Styela clava: one gene and its partner. The protein of the gene in region 2 purifies or fractionates together with the protein of the main gene of each other region. This does not show direct contact. Links are inferred from orthologs where the notes say so. Each region holds a gene or a part of one and is shown on either strand. Other genes may lie near its edges. The genes, in order: coatomer subunit delta-like and coatomer subunit beta'-like.

Region 1 (9,213 bases), on a different chromosome or scaffold from region 2:
GAAGGTTTTTGTTTCTAACGCATGCATGTGCAGAAGACAATGCGTTACAGTTATGTGTGGTGCATCGGCTTTCACTAGCGCACCAAAACCATATTTTCGCCCTAACATGGCTGGGGCTCCGTCCGAACAAATTGCACAAACCATATCCCACGAAAGATCGTTGTTTATGAAGAAATGATCCACAAGTTTCTTAACGTCAATAGCCTTAGCTGACAAAATAAAAAATCTTCCTTTATCACGTCTTCTTTCACATAGCGCAAGAATACAGCAAGCTGGCTTAGACTGGCAACGTCGGTGGTCTCGTCAAGTCGGAGACTAAATTTTGCCGGGCTCGAAATCAAGTCTGAAATTATTTGAGCCAAAATGTCATCGCTCATCTTATCAATTCTTTTGCTGATGGTGTCATTCGAAAGAGGAATTTGAGATAATTTATTTTCAGCTGCTTTTCCAAGCATGATATTCGCCATCTTCAACGCAGCTGGTTTTACGAGTTTTTCCCCAATGGTGTTTGGTTTGCCTTGTTTGGCAATCAGGTATGCAACTTCGTACGATGCTGTGAGGATCGGTTTGTCGATGGGAACAAAGCCGAAAACAGGCAGAGTAGCCTTTTCATCATATCTGGCTCTTTTCATTTTAAATTCAGCGAGCGTTGTGTTCTTGTATTTTCCATCGCCATGCATCTTCAGAAAGTGATCCTTTAGTTTTGCCGGTGCTAAGCTAGAATTACCCTATAACCCTACAAAATAATGTTTTCAAATAAAACAATGCTGATCATTGTTGTAGTAGACTCACTTAATATGCAGACTCATTAAAAACCTAATAAGGCTTTAATCAAGTAATACTTCACAACTAACTCTGAACAAAAGAAAACTACGCTTACACAACGAAATTACTTACAAAGACAAAACAGACACTTTTTTAAAAACAGCGCCGATTGCACAATCAGATAACGTTTGGCCGGGGATTCTATAACAAAGGTGTTTCCTCTCCGCTGAACCCCTGATACTGACTCATCGAACCCCTGGGGTTCGATTGAACCCAGTTTAAGAACCACTGCCTTATATCAAACTGAAATAGATAGCCATCGTAATATTTCAGTAGACGCTGGTATCTCAAAATTACTATTAACCAGAACATAAAATTTAAATTTAAAAAACGAATGTGGTGGAAACTTGACTTACCATTCGCCAAGACCAACATTCACAAAAAATAAATGATTTTTGTTCAAGTCAGCTTATCTTACCTTACGAACTGCCCTGAACACTTTCTCTTCATGAGAATCCATCTCAGTAAATGTTCGAATCTGTGCAAGATTGACACTTTCACGATATCCTAGAGCTACAACTTCATCAAATGCAAAGATCAATTCAAAAGCATGTTCTTGAACATCATTTTCATCCAGGATTCGACAATACTCTGGAATCTTGAATAACAATTATTAATTATGATTCAATTTATAATAATCCAATTAAGACAAGGAAAAAGGGTGTGAAAACAAAGCATAAAATCTTTAGAAAACATGATTTCAGCATGATGTTGAGTAAAGTATGATCACAACTAACGATCACAGACTCTAATAAACAAATAAATTTGGGGCTTGATTTCAATTCATTTTCTCTATAATTTTCAAATTGAATTTCAAGGATACAAGTAAAATTGAAATTAACGAAAACATGAAAGGTATTTTGTACATATAATCTAAATAGAATAGATTTAAAAAAATTTGTCATTATGTGTTGGTGTTAGAAATGAGCTTGCAGAAGTTCTATCCTTTCCGATATTAGAATCTACCTCAAACTTTACATACCAATCTTGAGAACAATCTTAGTGTTTCCAGATCTTCTAAAATATTACTATTCTTTGTAGTGATCAGCAACATATACATTTTCTCCAGAGGTTGATAGACATATCTCACTGATTCTGTTTCGACAAATGTGTGTTGTTTGCCTGAAGAAATTGATAAATTGATAAATTTCTATCCTCGAAAGTAGATAAAAGTAAGATTTTCATATTATATCCTGGGAGGAGAAAAGTCGACGAGACAATGCAATCATATGGCAAACCTTCGCCTCTCGTCCAGTGCCAGTTGGGAACAGCTAGCCAGTTATTAGAAGCCATAATGAACTAGTAATTGAATAAACAAGGAATCGGTCGGAGACCAAAGACTTATACTCTATAGTGACACCGCGTGTCCCATCACTAATTAATTAATAACTCGCTAATTATATGACATAAATCATCCAAAATCAATAGGCTTTTGACCCAAGATATGATGAATGCACATGCATGTTTACATTGTTACATGACAGAATATTATCATGATTTTTTTGGTTGTTGAAAATGCTTTATTGAATCATAGAACTAGACACTGTGATAAGGCATCAATAAAATAGGTAAATACTGAAGTTCTACCTGTATTCATTAATTTAGGAAATGCCGCAAGAAGACCTTCAATTCTTGATCGAGTCATTTCTACAAATTGCCGAGATATGATGGCTCGACCATTTTTGGTCATTACCGCCGCTGCCAACAGCACCTAAAAAATTGAAATAATTCAATCCATGACTCAACGTTATAGTCAGATAGTAAACTTTGTACATTCAGTAGGGCCTAGTTCTCCGATTCAAAGATGTTCCAACGTAATTGGTTCATTTAAATAAATACTCTGTCTCTGAAATGAGGAGCATCTATATATAGTTTAGTTCGGTCAGTTAGTGGAAAAAAAGTGAAAACACATAATTTTTATGGCAGTATGACCTTAGGCCTACGTTGAATATAGGATAGGATTTACATATTTATCCCGGGGGAGAGGAAAACCGATAAGACGACTTAATCATATGGCCAACCACGGCCTCTCGGGGTCTGGTATAGTTTAGTACCACATGCACTTCTAGATGGCCTGGCTCGACAATTTTTGCATACGTTAATCCTAACCCCCACCTGACTACGTCACCAAAAAATTACGTCATTTGGACGTCACAGTGGCGTAATGAGACCCACCAAAGTATGGAGATGGTCGTCCAAAACACTCGGACGATCACCCGAAATCGGGCAAGCTAGTTCTCTCGTTTTTGCCTCACAACGATCACCATAAGAGAGAGATCGTCGGCGTTAGCGAGTTCATTATCGGCGGCGCAGATGCCATTTCGGGCGATTGTAATTATACTTTGGCAAGCCATATCACGTGATGGTGACATCCTAGTGACGTAATTTTTGGATGGCATAGTCAGGTGGGGGTTAGGAATACCATATGCAAAATTCGTTATGCTACGCCCACTGGAAGTACCTGTGGTACTAAACTATACTAGACCCGCCTCTCGTTCGGTTACCAGGTCGGGTATGGGATTAGTTAACCAGGTATTTGTTTTCGGAAGAATGGAGTTGATATATAGAAATAAGATTTTATATTAATTTGAAGGACTGAATGAGATAATAGCCATGGAGTTAAGTCTTAACACTGTTTTGAAAAAAAAATATAAGCAATCCATCTCAACACAGTAACAGCAACTAATTAACAATTGAACATTGCCAGATTGCGTTAGCCTATATCTGTAACGTTATATGGAGTCAGGTTAAGTTAGATCGGACCATAATTTGAATCCAAAACTGGTGGTCATATCATAGATTCATATTCCATAATAATCACTTACCATATTGTAATTTATAGATTTCCAAACCTCAGAAATGTGAAACAAAAACGACACCGATAGCCAGTATGCCAATGCAGAAACCTTGTTCAACAGGCAGCCACGTCAGTGCTAGGCATAAGTACGAAAACGGCTGAATGGAGACTACTGCGATGTTCGATAAATTCGATTTATCATCCCCGCGAGATGTCGCGCTAGAGTAATAAAAATTCTTATTACCCATTTACTTCAGTCTTCACTCCGCGAGTTCGTTGAGATGAATACGATGCAGTATAATATAGCCTACGGTAAATATAAGTATATTTTGAGTACCGGAATTTCGGCAAATAGTACCGGTATGCATCGTATTGTCGTATTTTTTATATTTATTCAAGTGTGATCTTGTTTTCCCAATTTTTTTTTATGTATGTATGTTTATTCGTCTCGTAATAGTGATAAATAAATGAACAATTATTCATGGCCCCTTTGTGCATATTTTAAATAGGTAGATATGCTTTTCTGTAGTGAATGAACTGGGTAATTCTGAAGATAAAACCTAAATAAATTTCATTATGCACTTCAGTGTTCTTAATTCATTTTAATAATTGGATGTGAGAGAATTTCATGTTGTGAATTTTTATATTATATGTCGGGACGGCGGAAAAACAGGCTAAAACCGGGACTGTCCTGGCTAAACCGTGACGTATGGTAAGCCTATGTATGACCATAGTTGTGATTCGAACCTTCCGTCACCACTGTGGAGCTAGCAGCAATTTCAACCAGAATATTTTTACACATTGAATATAATTTCCAAGCGCATATATGATTCACTTATAGCTATATATAAAAATTGAAAAGGCTGATTAAAATATAATTTTACCACGGAATCAGATGAAAAATCTTTAAACTAAATAAATACAATAAATTGGACGAGAAAATATTGTTTAAAAAAAGATTAAGTAAGCGAAAAATGAATCTAAGGTAGCCAGGTTCCTAATTTTTTGCGAAAGCGTTTATTAGATTACAATTCAGTCTTTCTTCGTTGTCAAATATAGCTACCGTAAGTAGCATGCTTCTAGTGGGCGTAGTTTTACAGTTTTTGCATTTGTCAATCCTAACCAACACTTCGCTGCGTCATTCGAAAATTACGTCAAAGTGACATAACAAGGCCCTTCAAACTGTACAAACTGTCATTCAAGCACACAGACAGTCACCTAAAATCTAGCAAGCTATTTCTCTTGTTTTTGCGTTGCAACGATCCCGATATGACTGGCGGCGGCGCAGATGCCATTGTGGGTGATCCCCCTATACTCTGACAAGCTCTATTAAGGAAGTGATTGTGATGTCGTAGTGACATAATTTCTGGATGCCATAGTCAGATGGGGATTAGGATTGACATATGCGAAAATCGTTATGCTACGCCCACTAGAAGTACTTGAAGTACGAAACTACACAAGACCCCAGTAATAGTACATTTTGTAAACATTCACTGGTCCCATTGTTTCCAGAATCTGAGAATATTGATCTTTTTTTTCTACTTTCTTCTTAGTTAAGTGGCGAAAATGCTGCAGAGCAAACCATTCAAAAGTCGTTGTGCCTATAGGCCTACTCATTAAAATACATTTTTTTTAACAGAAGAATTAGTACTATATTTCAGATTTATTTAATATACAGATATATAAGGAAGTTGGATATGAATTTTGAATTCAGTTTACCCCAGACACTTCTTGAATATTTTGAGTCGGAGGGATACGATGCATATAACAGTGTACGAGTTTTAACTGATGAAGAAAGTTTAAAAGATCCAGAAAATGATCCTTTCAAGTCAAAATACAAAGCAAGAGAAAAGCTGCAAGAAATATTGAATAGAATACATAAAGAACGAGAAGAAAATGAATCTGACCCATCCATGAAAATTTTAGAAGCTGCGATACAATATCAGCTAGGATTTAATTACACTCACACTGAGGAAAGACCTGCTGGAGAAGAATGTCTTGATAAGTGTATTGCTCTTCTGAAAGACGATGAACTTTTAATGAGACCAGAGGCTGTTAGCATTGCCATGATTGCATATTCTGAACTTGGAATAGTATGGGCTAGCCGTTATCAAGGCCGAGACGAGGCAATGTTCAACCTTAAAAAAGTTGAAAGTCTTTATAATAAATATAAGCATGAAGTGGGTCTTTCTCCTTTCGCTATTGATGAAAGTTTGCGTCCAAAGGAAGAGAAATTCACTGACATGCAACGTGATGCAAAATTTGAAAAGATTTTCACTCATACATTGTTTTACTTGGCACAGATGTACAAACAAAGTGATGAAAATGATCTATCTGCTGCATATTGTCAAAGAACTTTACGACGTCAACTGGAATCAAAAGAGTATGATCCAAAAGAATGGGCTGTGAATTCTGCTGGCCTATCACAATATTACATTTGTCAAAATATGTATCGTGAAGCAAAACATTGTTTGGCTTGTGCCAATGTCATTATGGAAGAAGCAAAACCTCAGGAAGGTCTACCTGAGCCGAAACCTGATGATGATAATGAGACGATCATGCTGAGAAATGAAATACCACAGAAGAAAGCAGATATCGCTCGTTGTTGGGTGAAGTACTTTCTCGCTCTTCTGGATTACTCAAAGGAACTCTTATATAATGATGTGTGTGAACTTGATGTTAATAGACAAGCAGAAGCTATACTACGACTACAATTAAATGAGGAAAATGACAATGATGTACCCAAAGATCATGACAGAATGCCTCTTGAAGTTGATTCTGTAGAAGAGAATGCGAGACATTTACCAGTCACCACTTTTGAAGAAAGTCGACAAGTGTTCCTAATAGCGAAAAAATATGTTGATTCTGCTCTTGAATTCTTTGTTATGGATGGTTTTGTCACAGATAATATTGAGCTGACGCAAGACATGAGTGCTCTGTATAAACACTTGATTTTCTTTGAGACAGAGAAAGAGAGAAAATGCAAGATGCATAAAAGACGGATAGACCTTCTTACTCAAGTTTTGAATGAGATAAATCCTCAATTTTTTCTTTTAATATGCAGACAACTTCAGTTTGAAATTGGGGAAATATATGGTGCGATGTTAGATTTAAAAATTGCAATTGCTAATGAGTCGACTCAGACTCCAACACACCACGCTATCAAGAAGATAAACCTATTGTGTAGGTCCAGTATATTATATTTCACTAAATTTCTTGACACACTACGAAATACTAAAAAAGTATTTCCTTTTCCATTTGATGAAGATGTTGAACATCCTGCGATTATTGCACATTTTCACGTCGCTAGACTGTATTCAAAAATAATTGCTCCTGTAAGATCTGAAAAATTAAATTTCTTGAAAAAGTCCTTGGAATATTATTCATGGATAGTTGACTATGTTGATCGTAAACCGGAATGTGAGGTAACAGTACAAAAGGAAGTCGAAATTTGCAGGGAAATGAAAGTCCTTCTCCCAAAGGCAATGGAACGATATATGGAATGAAAGATAATGGAACATTTTGTGAATAATGTTTTTGTGTGTTGTCGTTAAAACTTTCAGAGATCGTGGTTAAGAATTTCACACTGTAATTTTGTAACAATATTAAAAGGCTATGTTTTCCTTTCCCACAACCTTATTATTAAACTATTAGACCATTTTACCATTAGCCTTTGTCACAGCTGTGTAATTAGACTTTTTTGACCGCTTGTACCCAAGACTTCTTACATATATATTTGAGTTTTGAATCGTTGCACCACTTCATGTGAAAGTTAATCAGTATATTTTAAAACATTTGAAATGTTCTGGGTGTTTTTTCTTGATCATGGTCTATTTTCATAGCATAATTATGTTTTGCTTTTGTCGGTATTCTGCAACTCAATAATCTAGTACAGTTTTCCGCTCAGCTCAGAATAAGCACAGTGGTACATCATTTGCATGGCAAATTGTGTTTTATTATATCCTTCTTTCGTATTTTTTGTGTATTTTTTTATTTCATGAAGGTTCGAAATAGACACAATTTAAAACATTAGATTTACTGTAACCCTGTCACTTACCAAATGTAGTTCATTAATCAATGGTATGCACTTGAATTTGCACCGGGTATATATAATCGTCCTCTTAAAAATCTCTCAACTGTTCACTTGTAAGTAACATCACTGTGTTTTATATACCTAACTGGTTTTAATATTTCACGTATATTATATATTTGTAATTGTCCTATCATATAAACATTGAAATACAAGTTGGAACAGAGTGGCTATTTGTTAGCAGTATTGTGCAATCATGTTTAAGTGGATTAATCATGTTTTCGTAGCTGTCAGTTTGCCTCTCCGTAAAGTTGTAAACCAACTAAGCAGCTCGTCTTTGCTCTGTTTGCCTGTGAGGAAATCTATGATTTGATAATCAGTTTATATATAGGGTACTGATTTTGTGTCAATAATAATTTTCTGCCAAGCAAAAAGAAAATTCACTTCAGTACGATCTTGAGCGTTAAATTATGATCTACCGAATATACGATTAACAATATCTTCAAACCACAAAGTCAGCGTTTTTTGAGCAGCGATTTAAAACAGTGCCGTGAAGCAGAATTTCTTGCAGATTTAGTGCAAATAATCCGATTGCTGGTTCAGGCTGTGGTCGTTTCACGTTATTTCATATGAGACTCGAGGTGTAATGGAAAAATTTGCCGCACGGTTGCCTTCGATAGACGCACTTTGCACAATGAATACCGGGTGTAGCTGCTCGATAACCATTTTTGGTTCCCCTACCCGAGTAAAACTGTGTACTATTTTCTTGTAATTTGTGCCTCTGATATTTATTTATTTTTTACTGGTTGAAAAAAAATAAACTTGATTGATTGATTGTAATTCAGGGACAACAGACTAAGGTTATATTCGGCATAACTAATATATAAACCGCAGCACGACTTCAGACGTGATTTTAGACACTCGGCTTCTGACCAGTTTAAATATGTGGGCGTTTTTATGCGTTTACTTTCGTCCAATAAAAAAGCAGGAAAAAGAACGCCTTCGGCATTTTATTTCCATAAACTTTGCAGATCTGTAACAAACTTCATTTTGGCATTGGAGATAACGTTCACAATCACCTACTTTCGTGCACGCTCAATTAAATAAACTAAAGATCTAATCCGCCATGCAAGTCTAAAATGTCCTACTTATAATACGGTCAATAGAATAAATGTTTATACAAACTTCGTCAAAGGAAATTAGAACATTGGCGTTTTTCTTGAATACCGGTATCGCTAGGAATATTAAATTTAGTAGCAGAAGAGATAAACAGCTTGCGCGCGGAGTTTTGCACCCAGGTCCTATTTTTCCAAATCACTATCACCAATGAGAATATTCTCATTACTATCACCGATTGATTTTTCAATAGAAAAATAAACTTAGTTGCCTTGATTGAGTTGCCAGTGTAGTAGTCAATTGTTATCAGTGAGAAAAGCGTAGAAAGGTGAGACAATAACTATTCCGACATGATTTTCGCCACCTACGTCAAGCCGTAGATTGCGCAATGATTTGTTTACAGTTACATTAATACATTTCCAGCCGTATTCGTCGGTTAATCGCT
Region 2 (9,545 bases):
TTTATATTTAGTCAACTCTGATACAATGATTTAATTATAATATGAAAAGCATTGCCGCAGCACCACACACCACATTATTCAGAAGAATGCTCAGTGAAGAAAGTCATAATAAGATAAGAATATAACAATTGACTAGAAGTTATTCCACGGTAGACCATTCGAATCCGCATATTTCAGCGAAGGGAATCTAGAAATAAGTAGCTGAATGCTCGACTGCAGACAAAATATAAATATGAATTATATTTGTGTTATAATTTACTATTGCATTCGAACTGGTTATATTTGAGTTACCATTTAAATGGGTGTCATTCTTACCTTTGGATTTATCACAATCTGCATAACATAATGAGTATGTCCTTCAAATACTTGTGAACATGCCCACTTCTTATCCCAATCCCAGAGCTTTATCATCATGTCATCTGCAAAAATACAATACTATAAAAAAATTCCTCAGATCTTATAAATTCTTGAGGATTACAGAACATTGTTGTTAATACACTTAATTAACTAGGTATTCATTTTTGACTTTAGCTTTAAAATAAAGATGTGTCAACTTAGTAGGCTATAGGCCTACATGCTAAATATCAAAAATTATATTAGTGAGTGGCATCCCACCTTAACTCGTATATACACTTATAACAAGAGTACTGACAAGAATGATATGGTATATTGTTTTTGAACTTTTCAAAATGATATACTTTATACCTGGGTTTCTCAAACTGGGCCATCGGCCCATCAAGAAGGCCACAGGCAAAGGCCTTAGCTATGTACCATTTGAGATCACCACATGAATTTAAAGCACATTGAGTTTAACTTTGCTTTATTCTTTGAATGTACTGCATCTTTTGCTTTTGTTTGTTGGCTTGTTTACTCTCTCAAATATGACAACAAAAATATCTGATGAAATGCGTTGAAAGGAAAACTTTTTCAAATTTTTATGGAAGAGCAAGAGGCCACAATTGTTTAGAGTTTTTGGAAGGGGCCCTGGGATCATGGAAGCTTGAGAAACACAGCTTATGCATTAGACATTCAAAAAGATATTCTCAAAAAGTTATGGTGCATCGTTTAATAAAAACATTATATGCTATCTAATGAGATGCCAAAACTTCATGCTTGTCTCGTGTAAAATTAAGACGCAAAATCCTTTAAATATAAATATTACATTACCACTGCTGGTTAATATATATGGTTGTGTTGGATGAACAGCAATTGATCTTATATAATCGGTATGAGCTTCAAATAAGTGAACTCTTTCCAATGTATTGTAGTTGAAAACTCGAACTTGCATATCATCCTGTAAAAAAGATCATTTCATTTACCATATGAGGCAAAATACTACATATCAATCCAGGGAATTAAAAAAAAATTGAATAAAATAGTAAAAAAAGCAACAATGCAGTAAAACATAATAAATTTTTGTTACCGATCCTGACACAACCCAATTTTTTCTTGGAACAAATCTTGCAGCTCTCACTGGTAATTCACAAATTTCAAATGATTTTACAAGTTGTTGAGATTCGATGTTCCAAATATGAACATTACCTGAAGATCATAAGGCAGTAAAATAAATTAAAAATGTTGATTCAATTGCACAATTAATTTTTTAGGAATGGAATAGCACAGTCTTAATTCTATTTATTCCTGTGCGAATAAAGCAATAAGATGACTTGATCATATGGGGTACCGATGGTCTCTCGTCAGATTACCAGTAAAAGTCATGCATGGGATGACTTGGCCAGTTATTTCTTTCCGATGCATGGACGCGATGGTGGAGGAAGCCTGGACCAACCAGCAGTTACATGAACCACCCTGCGGCGGAGTGAAGTCCAGCAAACCGCTTGCACATAATTATCCCTCACAGGATTCAAATCTGCAAACCCACGTAGGATAATAAGAGATGTTATGATTAGCGTAATCCTAACGCTTTACCAACCGCAACTAACAACCTCATCAATGGCCATTTTGATATTTGATGAATTCTTACACTTAAAAGTTGCATGGACACACCAACATAAATCGAAAAATATGTGATTTAAAAGTCTTAGGCTCTAATAATTTCTATAGAATACAACCTTAAATTTCTTTCATTTCACGTTTAGAAAAGCATGGAATTTCAAAATTTTATTCATGATGTCACTAACAAGATTATTTATCACACAATCCCTGGGTTACTCACCATTGTACAATGAAACAAGCATCCATGGTTCTGTAGGATGTAAATCAACACATTTGACACGATCAGATCGAGCACTCAACTTCCTCTTGATGTCAAGTCTCAGAGGCTATATATAAAGCATTTTATTGGTTGTAAATAATTGCTCTTGAGGGTATGGAACTGGATTCAACCTTTCATATTTTTTATTTTATTCTCTTCAAAGTTCAAACACTCAGACATTGTACAAAACTTCGATACATTTCAGACATTGTCTGAATGTTTATAGGATTGGATTTAGATATTTATCTAGGGGTAGAGGAAAGACGCTATGATAGCTTAACGTTAATCCTGTAATCATATGGCAGTACAGCACACTATACAAATCGGGTGACATTGTCCCGTTTCAGAGAAACCCATTTTACAGATGATCAGACACCCCTTCTTTGGGAGACGTCTGGACATTGTTGTCCCTCAATATCGGTAATAATGCAGTATAATGAAGTTGCGCAAAATACTACAAAAAAGCGCACTCTAGTAATGTCATCATTGAATTCCTTAGGAAAAAATAATCCGATTTACCGAAGGAAAAAAAAAAGTTTTTAGCAAAAAACGGCAATTTTGGTCATGTGACGGCCTCGATTAATTTAGATTTTTATTGAAACAAGCATGGCACGATATGAAGCATCTGATGTGGTCCCAGACGCCCCTCGTTTGTGAGACACATAGAGTGTTTGTTTTATTGAGCCAAATGGAGGGAAATTCTTGGAATTTGGATAGTGTGCTGTACTGTATGGCGAACCCTGGCCTCAAACCAGCAAATACTAAAATTATTACAGCATTTGCATTATTGGATACTTGACTTTGATAACATGAATATTGCTGCATTGTCTGATTGTGAAAATCTTGTCAAAACAAAACAGACAAAAACAGTCGGAAGACCTGTAAGTTTGGGGTCTCATGTAGTTTCGTACCTAATCCACTTTTAGTGGGCAGAGCATAACAATTTTTTGAAATATCAATCCTAACCCTCACCTGACTAACCCATCCAAAAATTACGTCACTACGACGTAACAGTGACGTAATAGAGCCCTTCAAACTATACGAACTGTTGTCCAAGACGCGCAGACGAGCATCCGAAATCGAATAACTATTTCTCTCGTTTTCTCGTCGCAATGATCCCAATATGAGAGAGATCGCTGACATTAGTCAGCTCTTTATCGTTGGCGCCGATGCCATTTTGGGCGATCGTATTTATATTTGACAAGCTCTATGACGTGATTGTGACGTAATTTTATAATTTTTGGATGGCATAGTCAGGTGAGGGTTAGGATTGATATGTCAAAAAATTATTGCGATACGCTCGCTAGAAGTATGTTAGAAGTATGACTAGAAGTACTAGGTACGAAACTACACGAGACCCTAAGTTTGACATACAGGTAAGACATAAGAAGACAAAATTTCAGTATTTAGACTACATATTTCCAGTATTTCAGTAACGTTATACAGTTCCGCAGTTATATATTATGAAACAAAAATACTTACCATGCTTTTGGTTTAATCTGATCAATCTTTGTAGTCGGAATAATTTCCTGGTTCAAGCTGGGCACTTTAATTGAAAAGATAAAGTAGGCAGGTATCCTCATTCAGATTGTTGTGATCAGTTCACGGTACACGACAATGCTGACGCGTAGCATTATTCTGCTGTCACCTTGCAGCGCTAAAGAGCAATTAGACAATCAGAGTAAAATTTTAACGTTTTATATGTAATTTAAGTATGGTTTTCAAGAAGAAAAAAATATATAATAATAAATACGAATAACCCGACACCAATTATATTATAACATTATCAGACTTAACCTTATTTCCACTTTTAAAATGTGGAAAAGGGGATATAATTTTCATATGTATCAGAGGGGACAGGAGTCGGTAACCGATGGAGCTGTGAACTCTGGAACGTTGAGGGGTACAGCAACATACCGAGGAAACTATGTATACCGTGTTTCTTCTGAAAAATAACACTAGGGCTTATTTTCGGAGAATGTCTTATACTTTCATTTATCAAAAACAAAATTACAAAGTAGGAAAATACGAGATTTTCAAATACTGTACACAAAATATGAAAACCGATATCCATTTACCTATAAATACCACGTTTTTATTCGAAATAACTGCAAAACATAGACTGTCAATCATTTAAATCGTGAAAAGTTTTTTGCCACCGTCTAGGTATAACAAAAAAAATTTCGTTATTGACTAGGTCTTATTTTAAGGGGAGGACTTAAGTTAAAATAATTTTCAAAATTCAGGCTAGGTCTTATTTTCGGGGAAACACCGTAGGTCCAATAACATTTTAAATATTATATTTTTATTTATAATGATTCAAAGCGACATTTTTCTGTTATCATATGCTTCATATGAATTACAGGGCATTGAAGTGACAACACGTACCGTAACCATTGAGCAAATTCAAAATTTTCGATTGAAGCCAAAAGACTTGCGAGAGTATACGCGTACAAAGTTGGTTATTACTACCAGATTACAATATATTTTCAACTCCGGAAACAGGCGCTATTATACCAATATAGTCAAATAAAAACTGAATGACGGGTTTTAGGGGTAGCCTACAAAGTATATATTGGCTTGTTGTTGGTTTGGTGTGTTGGTGATGAACGACAGTTCGGGGTTATTTAATTCAATTACGTCCAGTACAAAAAGTTATGGCGGTTTATAATTTTAAGAAAGTCTAAATTAACTAGTTTTACTCCGATTAATATTATTAATTTGAAAAAAAAAAGAGTAAAATTTCGCCAAAATAACAATGTTATCCATACAGGGTTGGCTACATTATTCAAACCCTATTCTTCCACTGTCCATACCTCGCCGATGTTTAGTTACGGCCTTGAATTTATGATGGTATTCTGACAATTGTGGAATCATTTTACCAAATGGCGCGTGCAAACTTGGTCTCATCTTCAAAATCATCATTTTGTTCGAAAGCAAGCTGCCGAGTGTACTAGTGTACCCGTTTGTCAGGGTCGTTTCCAAGAACTATATTACATCACATTCGACGATAAAATGACACTGAATTATCTGATTTGGACTCAAATTTGGTAATTAAAACTAAAAATAATATAATGCGTCTGCCTAAATTTCAATTGGTGCTTTATAGATCTGGACATTTTCGAATGCCGGATAAATTCAGAATCCAATTGATATTGTTTTCGAATTGAATCTCGAATATTTGAAAAATATTCAAACTAATACAATGATATCTGAATTTTCTTGTAATGGGGGCCTTCCAGAACCATAAATGACCGGTACTGAAAACAAGAATCCAACATGTGATGAAACACATGTTTCATCACAAACTCACTAGGTTGAAGAGAGTGTCATGTCACAATTTAATTAAATCGTCGGGTGTGGTCGCGTTCTTGTGTAGCAGAAGGAATAATGGACCAGCACTGAAGGAATACCAACAAGGAGCTTACAGACGATGTAAAGATGAGAAGGATACTAGGACAACATAACAGAATCGAAAGATAATAAATCAGGAATATGAAGATGAGTATGGGGTTGAAATTCAACTGTCAGCAGATACTGCAAACGCTATTACCGGTACTAAATATTCTACTTTAATTATAAATGAAAATTCAAATAATCTCTTTGGTATTAGCTATATATGCATACACAGTTTGTAATGTAACATATGATATGGCCATGTCAATTCGCAATGCTTTTAAACATTCATTTAATGGCTTATTTTTGTTTTGTTCTGTGTGCATACCGTTTTAACGATATTAGCCTAACTAATTACAGACCTGTGCACGCCTGATTAGTGTTTTTTTCTGATAATTGTTTTTATGAGTGTACGTGCACAGAATTTACCAGCATAGTTTTGATTTTAGTTTGTAAGTATCTTGAACCACTTTTCACCAATGCCCAATTAGTGTAACTTTTCATGGCTTTTGGCTATTCTCGTCACCTCATCCACACGTTATCTTAGTATCGAATTGAATTTTGAATGTACGACAGTCCGAAAGTTCAATTTTTTTGTGTTTTTTTTCTGACCCAAGCCTCGTTCAACAAGGTTATTTTTGTGCCTGTGCTGGTGAGCTGGCACATGCGGTTTTTAGCACGATACGTTATTGTTACGAAAATAAACGGGGAATTTCATGCTCTTGATATTTGGCTGAGGAGCGGACGTTTTGAGTGCTCGGCGTAAACTGAATTTTTTTTTCTGTTGCTTAAATTATTCAATCCATGACAACTACGAAATTCTGAAATGTCCTTATATATTAATTTAATTGTGTCCAACGTAACTAGCGGTTGCGACTTCTTACGTCAAAATAAAAACATTATTTCTCTAAAATACCACGGCGATCTGTGGACATAAAAATATGAGATAAGTTGCCTGATGTATTCAACTTTGATATATACATATTTTTGCAATCTTGCGAACTCGTTAAAGCCGATAGAAAAATCTTAATATCTGTTACAAAATCCGTATAGTACAATTTTACTTCATACAATGAAAATACATATAAAGTAGGTTATATCAGTAAATCAAAAATACATATTCACCCGCCTTCACCGCATCGAAATCCACGCCAAACAGTCGCCGCGGTAACACCACTTGTTAAAAGAGCCGACTTTTTTAACGAAAAAGGAATTTTCTGTTGTGCAAAGTAATCAATCCATGACCGGTACGGGCATATTTAAAATGTCTTGCTTTGTTAATTTGATTGTCATCAATTTAAACTGTGGTTGCGTCGATAAAACAAGAGCCACTCTAAAACACCACGGCATTCCGCGGACATAAAAATGTGTGGTAAACTGCCCGATTATATATTGTTTCGATCCGTATTTTTGCTTTTTTGCAAATTCCACAAATTTGAGATGTACTTGTAACACTGACTCCTTTCAATCGCAATGCTGCCACTCCGATTATTTTTAAGGATAAAACGTTCCGAAAGATTTGTAATTCTGCTTTAAAATCTCAGAGATAAATTTTATTTTAGTAAAATAAATTTTGTTCGAATGTACTTTATAGATTAATTATCTTATACATCATCACAAACCGGGAAAAGTCGCGTTCTCAACTTTGTTTAAAGTTAACACGAACATTTTCGACGGCAATTTTAGTGTAAAAGTAATGGATAACAAGGTAAATCCCGCTCACAATTCACCGTGTTTCGATTTTAGTGACGATAAGTTCTAAACGCGGAGCGAACATAATGTGTGCCATAGGAAGACGAAATTTTGCGATTTTCAATGCCTAGAAAAGCGTTTTTAGACTGTCGCGGGCCTCAACAACACTTGTTTACGGTTTTATTTTCAGTATTTTATATTGCCGATTTTCAGTCAAACAATTTAGGTCGTGGATTTATTCATTAATTTGTCTTTAGAATCTCGCCGCCGATGAACGTATAATAAGTCTCACCGGATGCACCATTCTGTCAATTCCGTGCGAGTAACAAAATAAAATAATTGTCATCGTTATCGTGGTACAAATTTGAGGAAAATTTGTGATTTAGAGACAATAAACGTCAACGTAAAGGCGTTTACGGCCTAAATAACACGTCACAACGATGAAAACATTCGGCAATTTTAAGCAAAAGGCAATCGTACGCGTTATCGGCGACTTTTTCAATTTTCAAAACAAAAAATTCAACAGCGTTGTGACAAAAGCGCTTCTTATTTCCTATTGTTCTCTACCACTGAAAAATCAGCTTTTACATCGGGCGGGTATTCAAGCACCGGCCCTTATTTATTTTTATGTTCTGATCACACAGGCGGCTATTCAAACGGGCTCTTATCAAGATCGGGCGGTAAAACGAGCATTTACGGTACCTCCTAACTCCATTTTATTAATAAATTCCCATTTATTGCTCAATATTGTGAACAGACCGATTGCGTGTGTTATTTAATATCCATCTTTTATCACATATCTTAATTTAGTTTTTACATAACACCGATTCTATCAACAAACAAGCAATATGAAATATTGACCGCAGAAAAAAAAGGAAAAATGCTAGAGATAGATGACGGGGCACATATTGCCTCAAGCGTGAAGCGTGTACGCGTTTTAAAAAATCAGCTGATCTGCCAAGGCCGCCACGAGCAGGATTGTTTCTCGAGTTTTGCATAGATCGGTAGATTGTTGGGACTTTCAGTCTGCTGTGCTGTAGTTCGTGTGATAGGCCTAGTTCTGTAGTGTTCTGTAGTTAGCAGCGTTTGTCTTGCTAATCGGTGAGTTCATTATAGTGAATTGTGTTTAATTCTGTTAATATAGCAGCACCGCATACCGCAGTACTGGCATATATTCTGTTAAATAGCAGCACGCATACTGATTGATCTGTAAGTTACATTCAGATATTTCATGCATTCAGACATTAGGTACGTACCTACACCATAATTCTCTATTTCTGTATTTTCGCAGTTCAAATGGAAGGGAAAAAGGATGGAACGAATGCTGTTCTCAAAGTGATATTTATCTCTCTTCTCATTGACTTGTTTGGATTTACAGTCATTTTACCACTGTTTCCTTCGCTTATGGAATTTTACAAAAGCAATGATAAGGTGGGCTCGCTTACCTTAGAATACATGGAATATAGGAATAGTCTCCCGAGCTAACTCTGTGTAGTTGTTACTGTCTCGGAATGAAATATTTCATTTTTATACCACATATTTATTCCTTTTTTCTGTCTCTTGCTCCAAACGAGGCTTTGCACAAACAGCCACTGCTAGATAAGGAACTACTGCAGTGTTCTGGGATTTTGATACCTGTTACAAATTCATTTGGGAATACATGCGCAAGTAGCCTAGAGAAATATCTGCTGTAATTAAGAGCACATGAGATATGGTATCAATGAGGAATTCATCACCAGTGACTTTCTTCCAGACAACATTTTAGCTTTATATTCTCATCTCAGTAACTTCTTGTGCTCTTCACTCAACCTACAATTTATAAAAAATTGTCGCCCCATGGCCCAGCGGTTTGACCACTCCTAACTATGTTGGCATTATAGGTCGAGATTATCGGTTCAATAGCGATTCTCACCGCCCACTTTATGTATTAAAGAGCTACTTAGCCTTTTTCAAAGTGGAGGCGTGATAATCATCTTTTAATACAATTACATAAAAAATTCTCAAGTAGTTTGGGGGAATTGCAAGTGCATATTTGAGGTTGATTAAATACGCCTGCGTCTATTTGAAATACAACTTACTGTGTATAAATCAGAGATTCGAGTATTTAAACATTCAAAATTTATATCACAGGGAAATTTGTATTCTTCTATGGAAAGCATGGTGACTTCGTTCAGAAAGTTAATCGGAATTCCAGAAACTGAGGATGTTAATTCTGTTTTATTTGGAGGCAAGTTTCAAGCAA

Evidence for each region.
Region 1: the proteins of coatomer subunit beta'-like (region 2) and coatomer subunit delta-like fractionate together in Homo sapiens (co-fractionation; 5 studies listed by BioGRID and IntAct, with this or other methods). This does not show direct contact. The link is inferred for Styela clava from reciprocal best matches to the Homo sapiens genes COPB2 and ARCN1.

What each region holds. Positions count from the first base shown.
Region 1 is NC_135253.1:7,645,501-7,654,713, reverse strand, and holds the start of coatomer subunit delta-like, read right to left. Parts: upstream 3,798-9,213; 5' UTR 3,654-3,797; coding exon 3,651-3,653; intron 2,537-3,650; coding exon 2,413-2,536; intron 1,948-2,412; coding exon 1,808-1,947; intron 1,424-1,807; coding exon 1,244-1,423; intron 1-1,243. Other genes in the region: KIF-binding protein-like, read left to right, coding at 5,320-7,128. UniProt on the Homo sapiens protein: Component of the coatomer, a cytosolic protein complex that binds to dilysine motifs and reversibly associates with Golgi non-clathrin-coated vesicles, which further mediate biosynthetic protein transport from the ER, via the Golgi up to the trans Golgi network.
Region 2 is NC_135256.1:19,758,097-19,767,641, forward strand, and holds the start of coatomer subunit beta'-like, read right to left. Parts: upstream 3,858-9,545; 5' UTR 3,701-3,857; coding exon 3,698-3,700; intron 2,283-3,697; coding exon 2,177-2,282; intron 1,543-2,176; coding exon 1,424-1,542; intron 1,295-1,423; coding exon 1,168-1,294; intron 420-1,167; coding exon 316-419; intron 1-315. Other genes in the region: major facilitator superfamily domain-containing protein 10-like, read left to right, coding at 8,600-8,734, 9,434-9,530. UniProt on the Homo sapiens protein: The coatomer is a cytosolic protein complex that binds to dilysine motifs and reversibly associates with Golgi non-clathrin-coated vesicles, which further mediate biosynthetic protein transport from the ER, via the Golgi up to the trans Golgi network.